2 linked regions of the Rattus norvegicus genome follow. The protein of the gene in region 2 interacts with the protein of the main gene of each other region in a biochemical or structural test. Links are inferred from orthologs where the notes say so. Each region holds a gene or a part of one and is shown on either strand. Other genes may lie near its edges.

Region 1 (4,573 bases), about 11 Mb from region 2:
GCATGAAGTACAACACACGACAACCACAGGCCTGCTGTCTATCTGTGGTGCTTGCTTTGCACATTCAGAGCCTCTCACAAGCTGGGCAAGCATCCCACCAACCGTTACATTCTCACTTCTGACTGAAGTCTGGTAAGTCCTCAGACATACAACCCACATATACAATGCTCAGCTAATGAGAAGACCCCACTCACAGCTTCCCAAAGCTGGTCTCTGGGACTAAAGTCCTGTCAGAACACCTCGCTACCTTAAACCAGCCATTCTTCCTACTATAACCTGTGGTAAACCTGAGAGCAAAACTCCATTCTGCCTCCCTCAGCTACAATTCCAGCAGCCTAACCTAGATAGCAGGACTAGAAAAGGACACTCCTAACCGCACTCAGATCTTCCTCTGATCCTGGACCTCACAACATGTTCCTGAGGGAAGAATGCTTTTGCTGAAAGGATATAAATGCCAGCCAGATGACTGCTGTCTGGCCAAGCTCCTCCCTCTGACTACAGGATCCCCGTCTTCGTATTAAAAACCTCTATCTGCTAGAATCTGTCCTTGGAATTACTGTGGGCTCCTACAAAACTAGGTGTCCTCGATGCCTTCCTATTTTTTAAGGGGTAGGGCAGGTGCCTTTAGCCTTAAGGTGAGGGCCATCTGAGAGCTTTGGGGTTTTTGTAGTCCACAAAAACACTTTGGTTTTATGTTAAAAAAAAGAATGGGGGGAGGGGAACTATAATCAACTTTAATATATAAAAGGAAAAGTTGCCAGAGTTTAAACTGTGTGTTTTTATCGACAAGTAACCTTAAAAAACCAACTGTAACATGTCGTCCTCGTGTTCAATGCCATGGATGGCAGCCGATGTAGGCCAGCTGCTGAGCATCAGCCTTGTTTGTTCCCTAACGCTCTGTGCTAAAACCTCTAGGCCATGGTGCTAATGTGTGAAGTGGTCGGCCTTTGGGACGTGGTTAGTCCCACCAAAGTAGATGTGGATCAGTGCCCTAGTAAAGGGGACCCTCAAAGAGCTCCTGCCCCACTCTCCATGTGCTAATACACCGAGAAAGGCCACGGGAAACTAGCCCTGACTTGGACTTTCGATGGCTTGCCTGTGGTTTTGTGTGACAGCCAGAAAACTGCATGTTCTGCTGGTAACAGCTGGGGCTGGTCAGAATCTAGAGTTCGAGAACACGTCCTGTGTAGAACAGGAAGCTGACCCTTACAAATCATCCTTATGAAAAGCACACAGAAAAGAGGCTCCCTACTGTCACTCTGTCCAGCCAGCCAGGCAAACCCCAGCAGCTCAGTTTGGTTGCCCTGCTAGTTCCCAATACCCAGGAGAGCCCACTTACCTTCCACACAGCAGCAGCGGATTCTGCCTGACCATGCAGGTCCCGGGCATCATTTAAGTCCTTCCTCATGATTTCCACAGAGCCCTTGTTCTCCTGGGAGAGAGAAGCTGGTTGGAGGCTGGGAAGGATTTGGACACCCAGAACAGCAGTCTGGCCACCGGAACTACTCGCCCGCTCTCTGCTGGAAAATGGCTGCTTTCTAAAAAGGTCTCCTGTGCTTCCCGCCTCATCAGAACTAGGTGTGCAGCAGACAATTCAAGATTGCCTATATGCTTCCAGGTTTTCAGGTAGGTCCCCTTTGGGGTCGGCTTGATTTAAGACAGTGGCTTTCCTGACTTCTCTGTGTCCTTCTTGGACTCTGTGGAGATTGCTGTCTTAGTAAGGAGACAACAAACTGTTCTCCAGAGGACCTACCCCAGTCTGGGGCCGAGATTAACACTGGCCTCCATCTCAAAAGTGTTCTTCACAACCTATTCCATAGACTCATGGTGCATCATTCCAGAACATAGGGCTAACAGCACCCTCAGACACACTAAGCTACTAGTTCCTCCTGTCCGACAGGGACCACTGCTTTTCTACCTCGATACTCAGAAAGGCTTTGGGTTTTTTTTGAGTTATCATCCCTCTCTGGATCAGTGATGATACTCCAGATCCCTGCGACCCAGCTTCAAACACATTCTAATGGCTGGTTTCTGCCCAGTGGCAGGTACCACATGCAATGACCAAGAGAGCACAGCAGAGAAGGTTCCAGAATGAGGTGGACCGACAGCCCCTCAAAGGGCTGCAAATAGTAACTAGCAGATAGAAGCCCACTCTCAGGTCTCCACAAGCAAGTGGATGGGCGGGGCTTGCCCCGATGAGGTCACACCCAGGTTGGATGAAGAGGCCTTGAGGAATGGGATTGGGACTTGAGAAGAATCGAGAAAGATCAAAGTCTAATGGTTGTATAGAGATAAGGCACAGCTAGCCCACAGACCTGGGATGAAAAGGGGATAGAAAAGCATGCTCTAGAGATAATAGATCGAGGAAAACAGCAGGGTCCGGGAGACCGATAATAGAGATGGAGGAAGGGAGAATTCACGGACTCCAGGATTCAAGAGTCCTAGGCATGGCAGCGTCCCCGGGGAACGGAGGGTGCTGAGCACCCGAGGGATGCGGGAGAGGAGAAAGGGAAGAGGAGGTCAGCACACTGATCAAGAGACTGACTCCAGGTAGGGCACAAAGATTGACAGTGTGCGGGGCCGCCTCGCGCACCTTGCCACGCAGCGCCTTCCTCCAACGCGGTTCCCACTCAGGCGGCTCCGGACCGGCGGCCATGCGGCAAGCAGAGCACAGCGGATCTCCGTCGGCACGGCATAGCAGCTGCAACGCGGCCTCGCTAGCAGGGCCATCGCGCGCCGGCGCCGCGGCCGCCTCCTCGAGCGCCAAGAGGCGGCGGCTCAGTGGTGGGCGGCTGGGCTCTACCGCGCGCTGCCAGCAGTCATCGGCACACTCGGGGCATGGGAAGGGCCCGTCCTCCTCGGCCCAGAAGCGCACCACGCACGCCCGGCAGAAACGATGGCCGCAGTCAGCGCGCACCGGTTCGCGGGGCGCGCGCTGACACAAGGCGCAGATGGCCTCAGCGGGGCCCGCGGGGAGCGCCAGGGCTGCGGGCGGCGGCGCCGACGAGGACGCGGGCAGAGAGGGCGCAGAAGGGCCGAGGACCGGCCAGAGAGCAAGGCCGACGAGCCTCAGCCGACGACTCAGCCCCAGACTGCGCCAACGCCGGGCACGCGCGCGCGGCGGGGCGGGGTCCTGGCTGCCGTGCGCTCTGACGTCCAGGTCCTGGCAGTTGCGCGTTCTTCCATCCAGGTCCTGGCAGCTGTGCTCTCTCCATTCAGATCCTGGTAGTCGCTCGTGGCCCTGCCCAAGTCTGAGCTGCTGCGCTGTCTTCCACCCTGGTTCTGGTAGCTGCTCACCTCTTTGTCCTGATGGTGTCAGTCGTGGACTCCAAACCCAGATCCTCACAAGCATACTCTCTTGTGTTCTGTGAGATTACTCATACTGCAGAGTACTGTCCCAACATCATAGATAATTGCCCATCTCCCACAGATAATTTGGGAGGTGGTCTGTTAGGAAAGGCTTTTCTAGGGTGATTGACTTATTCTATACCTTTAGCCCTGAAGCTAGATAAAACAGAAGTAGACCGATGCCTATGTAGTTTAAGCAAGAGTATGACCAAATTAAAGAACATAGCGAGCGACACAGAATGAAGGAAGGAATGCTCAATGTGCACACAGAATAGCAGCACATTTTGCAGGAAAGCACGCTAAAGCATATTGTATTAATGTAGGTGTAGTCAGCTATGCACAATTTATGACTCTTCAAATTGAGATGGAAAATATACTGTGAATGTGATTGCAATGGTTTGAATATGCTTGGCCCAGGGATTGGTACTATTAGGAGGTGTGGTCTTGTTGGAGGAAGTGTGGCACTGTGGGGATGGGGCTTTGAGACCTTCCTCCCAACTGCCTCGGAAACAGTCTTATGGCTGCCTTGGATCAAAGATGTAGAACTCTCAGCTCCTTCTCCAGCACCATGTCTGTCTAGATGCTGTCATGCTTCCTGCCTTGATGATAATGGACTGAACCTCTGAACATGTAAGCCAGCCCCGATATAATATCTTTTATAAGAGCTACATTGCCCATAGTGTCTCTTCACAGTAATGAAACCCTAAGCCAGTGACGTTGCCACTTATATGTTCCAAACACTGTGACAGCGGCCACATCTACACTGAAGCTATGCAGCACTTTTCTGGTCATTATTTCCTAAACAACAGGACGAAGATTTGCAGAGTATTCACATCCTGGTAAGCATCATAAGTCATCTAGAAAAATTAAATAAAAGGATGCATGTAAATATTATGTTTTAGCTGGGTATAATGGTACATGTTTTTAATCACAGCATTCAGGAAATAGAGCTGGCAAATCTCTGTGAGTTCCAGGCCAGCCAGAGCTATATAGCAAGACCCTGTCTCCAAAGAATGTGTGGGTTTGTGTGTCTCTGTGTGTGTGTGTGAAAGAGAGAATGTGTGTGTGTGTGTGTGTGCGTGTGTGTGTGTGTATGAGAATGTGTATGTGTGTATGTGTGAGAGAGAGAATGTTTATGTGTCTGTGTGATGTGGTGTGTGTATGAGAAACATTTTATCTGAGGGATTTGAGTGTTCTTAAATTGTAGTATCCTTGGGGGTTTAGA
Region 2 (4,496 bases):
CAAGGTCTTTTTTTTTTTTTTTTTTTTTTTTTTTTTGGAAATATGGACCGCTTCACGAATTCATGTGTCATCCTAGCGCAGGGACAATGCTAATCTTCTCTGTATCGTTCCAATTTTAGTATATGTGCTGCTGAAGCGAGCACATAACACGAGGTCCTTGATGCCATTTCATTACTCTGAGTTCTTGGTGAACCAGAAGGGCCTTAGCTCCCCATCTACCGTTCCGTGCCTGCAATGTGGCATTCTTTAGTCCAGGGATTCACTTGTTTCTTCAACCGACTTAATGTTTTATCTTCAAAATAATTGTAGCTGAGTTTGCAGAAAATTTAACGTCCCATGGTGGAGGAGGAGAATCAAGCAAGAGCCATTACAAACAGGAGTCTTTCTGACACACAGGAATAGGAATATCAAGAAGACTCACAGGGTTGCATTGTGGTCAACACCAAAAGTCACAGGAGATGAGGACAGGGAGATGTGGGTAGGAGCTGGGTACAAAGAGCAGGCAGAGCCTTGAAGTTATTATTTCAATGTCTTTCCTGAGAGTTAGCAGCCACTGGTGGGGTCTGAACAGAGGGCTCTGATGGATACTGTGGAAAGATCAGCTCTGAAAGGGTTCTCTAAAGTCAAAAAGGTGGAAGCCATTATAGAATGTGGAGACTGAAGCCCAGGAACTGAAGCAGGGCAGGGAGCCGAGTGGGGAAACTATAGAACCTAAGAAGAAAGTGGGAGGCCATGGACTGGAGAGAAAGGGAGATTGTAGCATCCTGAGTGGGGAGGAGAAAATGCTGTGTGGAAGGACAGACACCAGAGAGATGAGGTCTGCAACTTTGGGTTAGAATTGGGTGCGTGGATGGTGACATTGACAAGAGAGGTTTTGAGAGGGGTAGAGGAGGAAGCTTGACCCTAGTGGCCTCCAGAAAGAAACGATAGAAAAACTACTCCGTGGAACCCAGCTGTGAGCCAGCAGGGGAGAGAGCCAGAGGGATTCCGGGTAGGTGTGGAACGACACTAAACGAAATGAGAAAAATGGCTGTATTACTTGTTCAAAATTAAAGGGAGAAGAACTGTAAGAGATGTAGTTACAAAAGTGGACAAAAGGCCAAGCTTAGGGTGAGGTGGTAGAGCCAAATTCCAGATCCTAAGTTTAGCTCAGCACAGTGCCAGAATGAGTTGGTATGCCGGAAACCAGACACCGCGCCCCGGGAGCCAGGCCTTTGCCCCTGTAGTGCAGGGTCAGCCTAGGTCGGCCACTGAGAGCGGTGCCCAACTGGTCTTGCACATTCACCTGTCTCCGACAGTTCCCTACTGCTGACTGGGCCATACTGGGCTGCCTCCAGAGGCAGTGGAAAGGGGGTCGACAAAAGGGAGATCGCGGACTAGGGTGATGGCTTTGGGAACCCAGAAAAAGGGCACCACCTGCCTCTATTCCCAGCTGGGTGCACCCTCGGCTCACGTCTCAACTTGCCCGCTGCCGGCCCTGCCCCTCCTCGCCCATTGGGTACTCGGAGCCCAGCCCAGCTTGGACCGTAGCATCCAGGGATCGCCCCAGCACCACAAGGCTCGGAAGTACCAAGGACACGGATGGCGACTGTGGGGCCGCGAACCGGGCCGAACTCAGGAGCGGAGGCTCTGGCGCTGGCGGCAGAGCTCCAAGGCGAGGCCACCTGCTCCATCTGCCTAGAGTTTTTCCGGGAACCGGTGTCGGTCGAGTGTGGCCACAGCTTCTGCCGCGCCTGCATCATGCGCTGCTGGGAGCGTCCGGGAGCTGGGACCGGCACGGTGACCCGCACGCTGCCCTGTCCACTGCCCTGCCCTCAGTGCCGCGAGCCCGCTCGCCCCAGCCAGCTGCGACCCAATAGGCAGCTGGCCGCGGTGGCCTCACTCCTCCGGCGCTTCAGCCTACCCCCCACGGTCCCCGGGGAGAGCGGGACCCCAGCGGTGGCTGCCCCGGCGGCGGCTGCGCGTTGTCCGCAGCACGGAGAGCAACTTAAGCTCTACTGCCAAGACGACGGGCGCGCCATTTGTGTGGTGTGCGACCGCGCCCGCGAGCACCGTTCGCACGCCGTGCTGCCGCTGGAGGAGGCAGTGCAGGAGGCCAAGGTGGGTGTAGGATGTCCCGGAGCTCTGGCTCTGCTCCAGCCCTCCCAGCTCTCCTTGCAGACTGCAGGCGGGGTCCTACAGAAGAGCCCCGTTCTCCTTTTTTCTCTTCCTAAACTGTGGTTTCCCCTCATCTCATCTCGTCCCTCAGAGCCTCATGCCTGGCTGCCTGGGAGACGTCCCCAGGGACTTGACATTTTCTGTCTGTCTCCAACCTCTGTGGTAACTCTGCCCAGGAGAAAGTCTCTGTCACGCCCACACATCCCTTCATTCCTGCAGCGTTCCCAGGGGCGTGGCACTACACAAAGTATTAAGCTCAAAGAGGAACATAGCGGGGTGTCTTGGATTAGGTGGTCTGTCGCAAGAGCTGTGAAGCCCGGGGGTTCTGGGCACTTTTGTCCCTCGCTGGGTAGAGGCACAAGAGGCGTGTGCAGCCCCCAGTCTTTGCTGTCCTGTCGTGCTCCAGTCCTCCTACAAGCATGCTTTCTGTTGCTTGAGAGAAGAGCTGAAGATAAGATGGACTGAAGCAATGTGGGAGTCTTGAGTTTGGGCGCAGATCACGTGGCTGATGCCCTTGAGGAAGCGAGACTCCTCCGGCCTTTGGAAATCTCCTGCATTTGCTCTGCACCGATAGGCTTAGTTTGCAAGGCTATGTTCATCCCACAGTCAGAGATGGTATCAATCCGGTCTCCTGCTCCGAGAGCAGAATCTTGGCTTTCTACTGGGCGGCTCTAAGAAGGTACATGATAGAGTACCCAGAATTTTCTGACCACCATGTCTTCCTTCATACCACAGGAGCTGCTGGATTCCAGGATGAAGGCCTTGAAGAAAGTACTGGAAGACTATGAAGCCTTCAGGTCAACAGAGGAGAGGGAGAGCAAGGAGCTTCTAGTGAGTCCAAGTGTGAAAGACATAGGTTGTGGATGCCCATGGCAGAGAGGGAGAGGGAGAGGGGAAGGGGGAAGAGAAGGGGAAGGGGAGAAGGAGGGGGATGCTCTCTGGGGGCCCATTTTCTAAGTCCTTCATATTCAAATAATCTTTAGGGTGCACAGTCATTCCTAACAAACCAGTTAGGACTTGTGGCCGCATCTTGTAATTGAATGCATTAGTATTTCTTCACAGAAACATGTCATGTTAAGTAGGAACACGATAAGGAACCACACATGAGCCTGAGGCATGTTTTGCCACAGAAAAAAAAAGGGGGCGGGGGTGGGGATGTTTTCTTTTCGGAGCTTTAATTTAAGAATTCGAGATTTGGGCCTGGAGAGAAGGTTCATCCGTTAAGAGCACTGACTGCTTTTCCATGGGTCCAAAGTTCAATTCCCAGCAACCACATGGTGGCTCACAATCATCTGTAATGGGATCCGATCCGATGTCCTCTTCTGGTGTGTCTGAAGGCAGCTACAGTGTTAGTATACATAAAGTTAAAGGAAAGGAAAAAAAAAAAATAGAGGTTCCTGGCTGGGCAGTGGTGGCACAGGCCTTTAATCCTAGTACATTGGAGGCGAGGCAGGCAGACCTCTGTGAGTTCCAGGCCAGCTTGGTCTTCAGAGTGAGCTCTAGGACAACCAACACTGCACAGAGAAACCCTTGGTGCTTAAAGGAGAAAACGCTGGTGCTGAGGAGGATCGGAGCTCTTCCTGGTAGAGGACTGTGGCTTGGGGACTTGTTTTGTTTACTATGGACAAACATGAATCACTGTCATTTTCTACCTCACAAATTCAGTTCTTAGCTCAATAAAAGGTGCTAGAAGAATGAAAGGAACCATTGGTGCCTTTTAAGGCAAAGTGATTTGTTTATGAAGCTGGGAATTAGAAAGCCTGGAGAACCGTCTTACTTTAAAAAAAAATCTATTTATTTGTGTTTCTATTGTTGGATGCATGTGCTGCTGTCTGCTTGTAAAGGTCTAAGGGCCATTTTGTGTCAGTTCCTGAACTCAAACTCGAGGTAAATTCTAGGGGTTGAACTGGGTTTATCCAACTAGCTTAAATCTATGGATTGAATTGCCAGACTTAGACCTGTTAAGGTATAGAAGCCCCAAACCCTTATTCTTTAGGTTGGGAAGGAGAAACTATGGAGCTCAGATACCCAAGCTCCTCTCTGGGCTCTTTGTGGTTGTTATTATTGGTGTTTGTCTGCTTGCTTGAGACAAGGTCTCTCTCTATAGTAAAGGACTTGCTACATAGACAAGGCTGGCCTCAAACCTACAGAGATCCACAAACCTCCTTAGTGCTGGATTGTGAGCCACCATGGCTGACTCTTCCCTTACTCTTTTCCATTTTTTTTTAAGGATAAATTTTATGTATAAGAATACACCGTAACAGGGCTGGGGATTTAGCTCAGTGGTAGAGTGCTTACCTAGGAAGCGCAAGGCCCTGGGTTCGGTCCCCAGCTCTGAA

The links.
Region 1: the proteins of Trim7 (region 2) and Rnf187 interact in a test that uses a peptide from one of them, tested with the Homo sapiens proteins (2 studies listed by BioGRID, with this or other methods). The link is inferred for Rattus norvegicus from reciprocal best matches to the Homo sapiens genes TRIM7 and RNF187.

Annotation. Positions count from the first base shown.
Region 1 is NC_086028.1:44,211,920-44,216,492, forward strand, and holds the start of Rnf187 (E3 ubiquitin-protein ligase RNF187), read right to left. Parts: upstream 3,061-4,573; 5' UTR 2,984-3,060; coding exon 2,594-2,983; intron 1,433-2,593; coding exon 1,340-1,432; intron 1-1,339.
Region 2 is NC_086028.1:33,705,064-33,709,559, forward strand, and holds the start of Trim7 (E3 ubiquitin-protein ligase TRIM7), read left to right. Parts: upstream 1-1,550; 5' UTR 1,551-1,581; coding exon 1,582-2,100; intron 2,101-2,892; coding exon 2,893-2,988; intron 2,989-4,496. UniProt on the Homo sapiens protein: E3 ubiquitin-protein ligase that have both tumor-promoting and tumor-suppressing activities and functions in several biological processes including innate immunity, regulation of ferroptosis as well as cell proliferation and migration.